Lytechinus pictus: one gene and its partners. The protein of the gene in region 2 interacts with the protein of the main gene of each other region in a pairwise test. Links are inferred from orthologs where the notes say so. Each region holds a gene or a part of one and is shown on either strand. Other genes may lie near its edges. The genes, in order: structural maintenance of chromosomes protein 4-like, TRAF3-interacting protein 1-like and cell division cycle 5-like protein.

Region 1 (3,758 bases), on a different chromosome or scaffold from region 2:
GTGGTAGGGGATACGTCACATATCAACACATAACACTGATTCTTTGCTTGGATGTCCCTTTAATTTTCCTTCTCACTGAGAGCCTCCCTACCTTATTGACATGGACTGGACACACCGCAATGAGAGATCGGAGCGGGGTATAAATACACAAAGTATATAGTAAATGAATTTATAAATTAAATTTTTGGCATTTTGTAAAATATTGTTAAGTATACTAGTACAATAAATGAAATGGGAAATTTAAATCAGACAAACATGGATCTAAACATTAATAAATCCATTTAATACACCATGGTCATTTTTGCATTCTCATCTACATGTACATGATCTAAGTTTTCCATCGCGAGGATCGCCCTAAAAATGTCAAAAAGTTTCTATCTGACCGATGTTAGTGATCGTGTATGGTAACAGCGTGTTGCCATTTTGATGATTTTGAATAGTCACTGACAAGAACATCGTCATTTTTTCGTCAAATATTAAAAATCCTAGGCCCTTGGCCTTGCTCGGCGATGAGATCATATTGAGATTCTGCCTGCACCGTACACGTACTGTACATGTACGTACATGTGTACTATCGCTGTTGCGTGCGTGATTTGTTCAAAACACTGACCAAAGTAAATCTTTGTGCATACTTGCTGGAGCGCGGCGCGGGCGCATTGTTGCATGGCCATGGCTGGGTTGATTCTACGAGTTTGACTAACGTTATGGTTGAGCATGCAGCATCATTCCATTCACAAGAAAAAAAGAAAAGATTTACAGGTATTTACAAGATACCGGGTATACAAGTAATTGTGCGAGTGAAAAGCTTATATAAATGTTTTATATCAGTTTTGAATCTAGATCTATGTCAAAATAGTAAAATAATAAATTATTTTAAGAATTTGATTTTCAAACGCGGGCCAAATTTCATAACGCGGACGGGCGACGGAAAACTCAACATCGAGTTTCAGCGGCCTTACCTTGATGTATTCTTTATTAGCATTATTATCACAGACATTGCTCGAAACTTACCTCAAAATTTCCTAAATAGTGAAAGATACTCCACAAAATGTGCTGGAAAATGCATATTGGTCCATCCCTATATGCTATACTGTGTGGGCTAGTGGCTAAAAATAGGCATTTCAAAGTCTTTAAATGCTGACCTAGACTGTGTGAGCCTCTGAGTGGGGCAGTGGAAACATGTCACATCAATAGATAATCAACTTGGCTGCCAGAAAATGTGAAGAAATCACTAAGTTGGTCTACATTGTTCACTCAAAATATAGAAAGAATATTCGAGGCCAACTAACCAACGGTATTGACATTTTGGACACATGTCTACAGCACAAATCTAGTGCCATTTTCTGGCCTACCCTAGTAATAGTATTGTGTTCAAATAATTCCTTGAGACACTGTAGAATCAGTCAGTTTATTTATTGACTCAGTGCTTATTTTTTCCTTATCTATATTCACCAGGACTGCAACAAGATGCCAGTGTTAGCGGAACCAGAGCAAGGCAAGGCTGAGGGTGAAGCAGAAAGCCAGCCCATGGACACCAATGAGTCCATACCTCAGGAACCCTCGACTCCCACAGCACAACCCAGGCTCCTGATCACGCAGATTGTGACTGAAAACTTCAAGTCTTACGCAGGCAAAGTAGTCCTCGGCCCGTTCCATAAGGTAAGTTGGTGTAGAACATGAAGCAGTCTTGGATTGTCCCTATGTCGAACGTTTCCATCTAAAATTTTGTTGGGGACAAGGCCAGAATTAGAATCCGGTTGCAGAGAATGTCCATTTTGATAGCACAAGTTTCACATGTGACAGAATTGTTATTGATTTTCAGCTCTATTGAAAACTACTGTACCAGGATTTATAGTTGTGAATATGTATGTACTAAATTTCTGCCCTGCTTACCTGAAAAGAGAATAAAGGAGTAAGAGAGAGAGAGAGGGAGAAAGAGTTCAATCCAAGTTTGATATTATTCCAGAGAATAATTTTTCTTCTCGAATTGGATTAGCATTTCTGGTTGTGAGAGATTTCAACTATGTTCTGGTTCTTTTTAGTCATATATACCAGAAAATAATTCAGAAATTTTGTGGAGTAATCCTAAAAAAATGTGGAGTAATTTGTGATGTGCTACCAGGAAAATTATTCCACGGCTGTATTTATATGCAGAGTTTCTCTTGCATTATTGGGCCGAATGGAAGTGGAAAGTCTAATGTCATCGATTCCATGCTGTTCGTCTTTGGCTACCGTGCTTCAAAGATTCGATCCAAGAAACTGTCAGTTCTCATCCATAAGTCGGAGGATCACAAGGACCTGAAGAGCTGCACCGTAGCTGTCCACTTTCAGAAGATCATTGATACAGGGGTGAGTAAGAGGTTTTTTTAGGAAACTTATGAAAATTATGTTGGTTTAACTCCGGCATACAATGCATAATCTATTGTGATAATCTGATATTAAAGAAATTGTAGTAGCATTTGATATGAATATTCCTACCTATAAAACCTTATTAAAAAGATACCGATCAAAGTTCCGAATAGTGATATACACTGTATGATCTAATTGAAATTCTTGCATTCCTGTCGAAAAGATAATGAAAGCATATTCAATTCCAAATTGTAATGACGTTATCATCAACTGCAACTTAAAGATGATTTGAATACTACTCAGGTCAGAAGGCTTGCATCAAAAGAGAATTTGAATTTTAGTATTCCTCGCATTTACACATATATGCCAAACTTCAACTGGAATAATTTTACTTCTTGAAACTTTCATATTTTATGAAAAATTCATTTCTTTGTAAATCGTACCGTAGTTGAATCGTGTAGGGTGAGCAACTTTACGAATGACTGGTGATCCTTTCTTGAGAAAAGTTATAAATGCGCACCAAATAATCATGGGTGTGAATTTAGCTCATGAGAAATGACTCGGTCATTCGTAAAGTCGCTTGTAACTTTGGAACTGCTTTGTGAAACGCCCCTCGATGTATTTCCCTATATTGAATAGGCCGGGGTCGATGAGTACGAAGTGGTACCCAACAGTCAGTTTGTGGTGTCAAGGACAGCGCACAAGGACAACAGCAGCAGCTACTACCTGGACGGAAAGAAGGTCAACTTCAAAGAATGCACGGCTCTCCTCAGGCAAGCTGGAGTAGACCTCGATCACAATAGGTTCCTCATCCTACAGGTCAGTAGCGTAATAAGCCAAACATTTTAAGGGGGCCAGAAATGGTGTATGGGGCAAAATTTCTTTAACAGCTGCGAGTGAGTCTAAATTTTGACCTTTTTATCACAAAATCTAATTTTGTTATCAATAGAGTTTGAAATAATATGTAGAAAAATAATATTATATTTCAGCTCTTTCCTTGCCAATTCCTTTCTCCCTGTTTTCTTGGTCGTGAAAATTTTTGGGGGTCCATGGCCTTCCAAGCTCCCCCCCCCCATTCATTTGTGTGCCAGTGCTATGACCTAACACTGCATGGGGGGGGGGGGGGGGCAAAGCTACATTAGCATAGCAAATACATGAGGATGATGGGCAATTTTGCCCCTATGCCAGCTCAAATCGCCCCTAAAATGCCATAAATTGCATGCTGTGGGGTAACCATCCAACAATATTCAGGAATAAGAAATTTCAGCTCTGAGTGTAATGAGAAATTAATTTTCTACATTTGGTAGAATAATGGTATTTACATTTACTGCACAATTTGCTTACTGGTTGCATAAAACATATGCCCTGAAAGTGAAAGAAATAGCCCTCAAGATTCAGCAATCACCCTC
Region 2 (3,758 bases):
TAGACAATATGAACTTGGCAAATCAAACAATGTGACCACGCAGCGTGAGCTTAAAATGCTGATATGTAGACCATAAAATGGACATTTTACAGAGCACTTAAATTTGTAAATGAAAAAAAATAATGAAAGCTCGATGTCCGAGCTAAAATATGTTTTGTATATTGACTTCAAAACTTGCTCCATATCAGCCTATTGAGCAAGATATGAATCTCATCGAACAGGCAATTCTGGCGCGAAGCGCAAGAAAAAAATTTATAAAGTAACATGAAGGATTTTTTTTTTGCAAGTCTTCCCCTCACATTATATCATTCACTCGTCTTCCTCCTCTTATTTCCTCTTCTTTTTTTTCTTCTGTCTTTCTTCTTCTTTTCCTTTTTTCTTTTCTTCTTTCTCCCTTTTTTTTTTGCTCTGCCATTTTTTTTCAGGGGGGGCACCTGGGGGGGCACACCAAATCTCAGGGGGGGCACGTGCCCCCCCAGGCCCCCCCGTAGCTACGCCACTGCACTGGCGTTGTGGCGTGCGCCTGTAATCCAAGCTATGTGGGGAAGTTACAAATTGATGCAGAGGTTCGAGCCCTGGTCACGTCTTTCGGATGGTGACGTTAAAGGTCGGTCCCAGACGTAAATAATCATATCTGATTGATACACGTCTGACAAAACTCAACTACACACACACACACACGATGATCAATATTGTCTAATTTTCTGGCATTTGGCGCAAGCCTGTTTTTGAACCCCTCACAAAAACGTCTTGTGTTCGCTCAAGCATGAACGGAACTATTTTCTTTAAAAAAAGCATTAGAAAGATAAGACATCAGAGCATCTATTAACATCAAAATATAGACATCATAATTTGAAACAAAATTTTGATAGACTTTTCTAAACTGTCCCGTTTTTTTAATACGCACTTTTTAGTTACTCGCCCTCTACGGCCTAGAGTAGGAGACAAATTCTCCGTTGTGAAATTCCAATTACAATAATTTGTCATCGAAATGGCGTCCCGTTTCTAGGAAAAAACCGGTTACCAACAGGAGTAACGAGCCTCATCTTGTTCGTTTTCGTGGAGAATCTTACCCAGTTTCGGATAGAGATATGAGGTGACATTCTACTAGAACATAATGGGAGAGGAATATATTAAGAAAACCCAGGATTCTCTTGGGAAAATCATAAAAAAACCACCGATGACAGAGAAGCTGCTGAAGAAACCTCCATTCAGATTTCTACACGACGTTTTCACAGAGGTAAACTAAAACAAGTTGGATCTCGATTCTATCGAACGTGTAATTGTAAAGTGCCAATGGATTGAATGTCAATGCAATTTAACTTCCACATGCAGTGATTCTGTGCACATGAAGAAATTACGATGCAGACGTCATACTCATAGATAATTTCACCCCTGCATTTCTTGTTTGTTATCTGCTTTGTTTTGTTTTATGATGGTGGGCCCCAACCAAGTCTGCGCACCTAACAATTTGATTTTGAGTTAAGATTTAACATGAAATTCTTCTTATTTCACAAAATCTTTCAGTTAATAATGTTCCTTAGGCCTATATTATTATTAGTAAGTGTCCCAAATTTCTCATTGAAAAATGAAAGAAAATAAAGGATTTTCTTGAAAAAACCTTGGGCAGTCATTTTCAGATTGAAAAAAAAAATGGTATGGTAGTGGATCGTAGAACTATTACCGAACACCTTTCATGAATTCAATCATATCAAACACACTATTCTCATAAACTTCACCAAACTTTCACCATGAATACACAATTACCTACAAAATATAAATATGTAAACATTTTGCCGAAATCGTTTGTCCTATTTACGATATTAGCTTCCAATCGGACCCCTCTTCGCATGTGAAATATTTTGGTCACTTGAAAAAGGTATCGTATTACCGAACGTGTGTTTTCTATGGGAAAAGTTGAGAAAACAACAAAATCACTGATGCGCTATTTTGACCATATCTTATTATTTTTCGAATATTAAGACTTTGAAATTGTGTTTTTGACAATTTTTCATCATCTTTCTATTCAAGTTCTCTTTGAAAGGATGTTGCAAAATTTTGAGCGTATGGAATTATTTTCTGATGCGTATGATGCGCACGTTCGGTAATACAAGACCGGTCGGTAATACAATCACTCACTATACCGGTATGGCAGTGTATCCTATTGCCGGACACCTTTATTTCAGTGCTTTAAAAATGACAACTAGAGGAAATACAATCAAGAAAAAAATCACACTTGCTATTCCAAATATTATGAAAACTATGAATATGATAAAATTATTTTCTATTTACCAACCATTTTCTTTGCATCGCAGTTGACGCATACCCCTCCACGAAAAACAATTATTTTCGTACGCGACAAATTACATCATGATTCCGGACGCGCGCCGGACGGGTAAAGATATCCTTGATTATAATGATGTAAGAACAAATTTGTGTGATTTTTTTCTTCTTATTTCATATCATGAGTAAATTCTAATTTTTTAATTGCTTTTTATATTGAATATGAGCAGATGTTGGTAATAAATTTGTGTTTGATAACTTATTCATTTTTTCTTGTTAGCTGCATGTTCCATGGCACTTTCCAATAATATATGCTCGCGTTCGTATCGTGATGCTCATCAAGTTCTATCGATGCGCTGCCGATCGACGGCTCTACTCACGGTAAACCTCCCGCACAGGTACCTCGAGAACTAGCCGTCGACGATCACCCACAATACACCACACCTCATCATTCGATCGGAGGAGTGGACGAGATTGAAATTCGGCAAATCAGGCCCATATTTCCGTTATAAAATATATCAATTGTTAATGCAAAACTATGTTATATGATATTTTAAGCATTTTCTGTCATTTTAGAGATAAATAAGGTAAAAGTTTGATTTTTTCGCCTTGTTTTTGCAATCTTGTTTTACAACCAATGTATGTATTGCTATGTGAAATTGAATTGCGGAAGTCTTACAGTACGAAATTGTTTTTGAACGCAGTAATATGCGCGTCCGGAATCATAATAGTGTCCGGTAATACAATACGTGACTATACCCCATGTCTGCGCACTCATTCACTTTGCACACGATTCAGGGATTTTGATGAGAAAGACTGCATTTCGTGGCCGTCACATGAAATGCCCTAAATTCATTATTTTCCATTATTTTGAGTCGGATTTTTTAATGAATACCTGTCTATGTATTGCATGTGTAAAGTCTGTGTTCGTTGCGTATCTTCTTTTACTAGAATCGCGCAGATATGCGAGTGCGCAGACAAGGGGGACTGCGCAGACTTGGGGGAACTTGCCATATAGGTTCTAGACAGGGTGACCAGATTTTACAAAATGAAATACGGAACAATCGACGAGTGGATCGACCAAGCTGGATGGACCGAGCCAGGTCTTAATAAAAAAAAATATCAGCAAAGAAGGCTACACAATATTGGGCCTGTAAACAAATTGTAATGAAAAGGAAGGGAGGGTGAACAAAAGATGAAGGAGAGAAAGGAAAAGAAGAAAGAAAGCAGATGAAATGTGTGAAAGAAAAAATGAAGGAGAAAGGAAAACAGAGTAAAAAAAAAGGAGGAAGAAAGAAAAAAATGTTTCCGTCATTCTTTGAAAAAGAGGAAGGAAGGGAAAGATTAAAGAATAAGGGAAAATAATTGGAAGGAAAAATGAAAATAAAGAATGAAAGAAAGAATGAAAGAGAGGGAGGAAAGAATGAAGGGGAAAAAGTAAAGAACATGAAGGAAATAAGAAAAAAAATAAAGAA
Region 3 (3,758 bases), on a different chromosome or scaffold from region 2:
TGATACCAACATCTCAAATGTAAAACTGTTCAAGAACTTAGTTCTAAAAGAAACTAGTTACTCAAGGTTAAAAACATCTTTCTAAAATACTATATTTCATACATGTATCTATCTAAAAAGGTAATATTAGGAAGTAAATTTCCCATGTGTGCTCTCAAACTTGAAGTCAAGACTTTCATCTGTATTCATGAGACTTTTGATTTTACAGATGTGTATCGTACAGGATTATTTTATCTTGGACGAACCTTTAAAGTAGCCATTCATAAGACATGACAGGGCAGTGACAATAAATTGCCTTGCTCAGAGGCACATGTGCTGTGGTCAGGTTTTGAACCCTGTACCTTCATGTGTAATAGGGTTCCTTTGACCACTTGAACATGACAACTCCACAAAGGCTGTTGCTTTATTAAAACAAAGGTACGAGCCTAAATCATAGTTTGATATCAATACTCATTCATTTTCCATCAAAAGTTAATGTTATATCTATTACAACCAAGCAAGCAAACAGTATGGCCTCTGTGTCTCAATTTCAATGCGAAATACATGCTGTATGATTGGTTTGTTACGCATGTGTTCCTCAAATCTCTGAATACATAACTGTTATGTATTCAGAGACACTTAAACATGTATAAGTGATGATATAGATACCAAAGCCAATACATCAATAGGTTTGCAATAGATAATGATACATTCATAAATGAGTTACGACAAATTGAATCTCATTGCTTGGCAGAGCAATTGTGAACAAAACTGCACAATACAGAAGTAATCAGAGCACAAGAATTACAATTTGATAACCATTTCAAACTCCAAAGGCCTATAAATTAGATTTAAAATCTCACTGAAGAGTGAGATCGTAACTTACAGTAAGATTTCATATCTTTCCAGACACTGTGCTGCAGTACGTCCCACAATGGGTGCAATGGTCCTCCATTGGGTAGGCATGAGCTTAGCCAGGTGTAGGAGCTTCTCATCTTCCTCTCGACTCCATTCTGTTTTCTTGATACTCGGATCCAGCCATTCAAACCTAAGATGAAGAACAAGAGAAAAGCTGAATTCTAATTTCAACGCACAAGCAAATGAAATATCTACACATTTGATAAGGAATTAGGAATACCTTCCATATGGACAGTTTTAAGAAAACACTACATCCCCATGATAAATTGATGTAACTTACCATCTTGCTTTGCATTGTTTAGCTGATTTCCTGTGTAACAGTGAAGCAATTCTAGACCACTGGTTTTTGCCATATTTCATCACAGCTGCCTTGAGGATTTCATCCTAATGCACAAAAGAAATAGGATAATAGGTTATTGAAAAATAAAACCCTTCAAAGTTCAATTATGAAATCATACTAATAAATATTTCTAATTTATATCGAAATACATCTTAATCCATGTGGATATACATTGATTACCTGCACTTAAATGTACTTAAAATCCATGAATAAATTCTCACCAGAAGAGTAAGTCAAGCCTCACAAGCAGCAGACATGTGGACTGAGGAGGACTGAGGTCATTTAATCTTTAAAACAGGGTTGTATTATAACATTAAAGTTTTTTTGTTTTAAAACGCCTTAAATCCTTTTGTTTAAAACATTTTTACCCCAATAAACAAATTAAATTTTATGATGAATTAGGGGTAAAACTGACCTATTTGTAGCTAGACAAAATATTCTAAAAGTTACACGGATTCTTTTCCGTAATCTCCGTAAAAAAAATAAAGAGTGTCCCATAAGATCTCCCGTCTCGACGTGATGTCTTCTATACTTGGTGCATTAAAAAAAAATATGTTCATATAATGTATTTCAATTTGATGGCCCTTGTTTTTAAATTCTCTGTTGGCCATTTTTTATGAAGGCCAAGGGCCTGGCCCTGGCCCAGTAACGTCCTGGCATCGGGACGGTCTCCACTTCGAATCAAAATGACTGAGTGATAGTGACTGATGACTGAAATAAATTAATTTAACTTAAATTAATGAGGCATGCCATTAATGATGGGTGTTAAACTTGCCACAATAAAAGTTAAAACCATTTCTTTTTCCTTAATTCTGAATTTCTGATCCTTCAACACCTTCAATTTTGAATTTTCTTTCTCACACTACCCTAAAATGCACAATACACACTCAAAAAGCACGTCATACACTGCAAAACATGCAAGTTTTTTTTGCAAAGATCGCCGATTTAACTGAAATTTCTGATGGATTTTAACTCAAACTAACATATTTTTAAGGGAGAATAAGACTAAAACATAAATATTTACTTCAGTGTTCCTCCAAACACCTCCTTTAATCTGGATTCGTGGCATTTTCACAGTCTTTCTTGTCAAAATTCAGGTTTGAGAAGTGAAAAGGGAGAATATCACGCAACGAGTTGTAGTTTATTCTCCTAGCTATGCGCTAGGCGCTAACCGGAAAAGAAAGAGAGAATGCACGTACTTTTGCGCCGCGCATTTTAAAGATAATTGATAAAACGACTGGACAAAAATCTACGTTTTCTCTCGCGACAGTTGAGTGCGCTGCGACTTTTCCAATAACAGTTAGATTTACGAAAAATGTTCGGTTTATCTATTCGTGAGGTAAATATAATTTATGTTTCTGTTATATCTTTTGTTCGGCTCTTTGTTCATGTAAAAGTAGTATGTATTTCTCTGAAGTAAATGTTTAAATTGACTTTTTTTTTTTTAATTTACAGGGAATTATTTTGTTCACCTCAGTCCCACAAACTCAAAAAATTGTGAGAGCTTATGTTATTGCAATATTGATTACTCTTCACTCGTGAATTTGTTGACTTTGGCAAGTTTGGGCCTGGGACTGCAGCATGTGATCGAGGGGAAAGGGTGGGGGCGGCATATCATAGATCAGTATGCAAATCTATCAGTCACTATAGTCTATGGCCTAGATCTATATCACCATACATACATGTGGTTAAGACTTAATTAAGTTGATGTGTGTTCGGTTAATTCCATAATTTCTAACTAAAAATTAGAATAAGATCTACATAAATGCCAAACAATTTGGGATCTAAATTATTTCCTTACCTGTTTAAAAACTATTTTCTGGGTATACTATAAGTTAGTTGAGCTTGAGCCTTGAGGGGCTAATAATCGCCTGATGGGTGATCACTTGATTTATTTGATAATTTTGTTCTTGACATAATCCACTCAAAGTCAAAGTTGCGGAACATAGATATACTATAGCCTTAAGACTTAACTTTATTAATATTATTTTCCAGATGTAAATATACATGTAGATTGAAGCATGAAAAGTTTATTTTTCAAATCAAAGTTTCATTTTTTTAAATTTCCATCATTGCAGATTGCTCTTCGCTTACGTGATGGTCGGCTTTCGGTCACTGAGCTCTGTTCCAGATGTGCAGAGAGGGCAAGGCGCTGTAAAGAGCTGAATGCTATTGTAACAGAGTGCTTTGATCAAGGACTGGAAGATGCAAAGAAAGTCCAAGACAAAATAAATAAAGGTAGTTTCACTTTTACTGTTACAGTGTTAGTCTTAAATTTTCCAATGGCTAAGATTGAATTTTTTTTATATGAATCTAGTTTATTTGTGTTATTCATTTAAACTATCATAATCTCTATCTTTTCAGATTTGACTATGTTTACATCTTCAGAAGATGAAAATATTTTTGGTGGAAAAATTTATGTTACAATCTAGGTAGATTTTGTCAATCTTTTTTTTATATTTTCTTTCACACAACTTTTAATTCATAAGAGACTGCTGATTATGTGAAGGTTTTTTTTTTT

What was found.
Region 1: the proteins of TRAF3-interacting protein 1-like (region 2) and structural maintenance of chromosomes protein 4-like interact in a two-hybrid assay, tested with the Homo sapiens proteins (2 studies listed by BioGRID and IntAct). The link is inferred for Lytechinus pictus from reciprocal best matches to the Homo sapiens genes TRAF3IP1 and SMC4.
Region 3: the proteins of TRAF3-interacting protein 1-like (region 2) and cell division cycle 5-like protein interact in a two-hybrid assay, tested with the Homo sapiens proteins (2 studies listed by BioGRID and IntAct). The link is inferred for Lytechinus pictus from reciprocal best matches to the Homo sapiens genes TRAF3IP1 and CDC5L.

The regions. Positions count from the first base shown.
Region 1 is NC_087260.1:4,780,718-4,784,475, reverse strand, and holds the start of structural maintenance of chromosomes protein 4-like, read left to right. Parts: upstream 1-1,429; 5' UTR 1,430-1,467; coding exon 1,468-1,659; intron 1,660-2,154; coding exon 2,155-2,349; intron 2,350-2,988; coding exon 2,989-3,168; intron 3,169-3,758. UniProt on the Homo sapiens protein: Central component of the condensin complex, a complex required for conversion of interphase chromatin into mitotic-like condense chromosomes.
Region 2 is NC_087247.1:57,292,532-57,296,289, forward strand, and holds the start of TRAF3-interacting protein 1-like, read left to right. Parts: upstream 1-946; 5' UTR 947-1,117; coding exon 1,118-1,240; intron 1,241-3,758.
Region 3 is NC_087248.1:5,496,472-5,500,229, reverse strand, and holds the start of cell division cycle 5-like protein, read right to left. Parts: upstream 2,457-3,758; 5' UTR 2,307-2,456; coding exon 2,262-2,306; exon of another isoform or gene 2,119-2,261; intron 1,282-2,118; coding exon 1,178-1,281; intron 1,028-1,177; coding exon 866-1,027; intron 1-865. Other genes in the region: glutamyl-tRNA(Gln) amidotransferase subunit A, mitochondrial-like, read left to right, coding at 2,553-2,576, 3,316-3,475.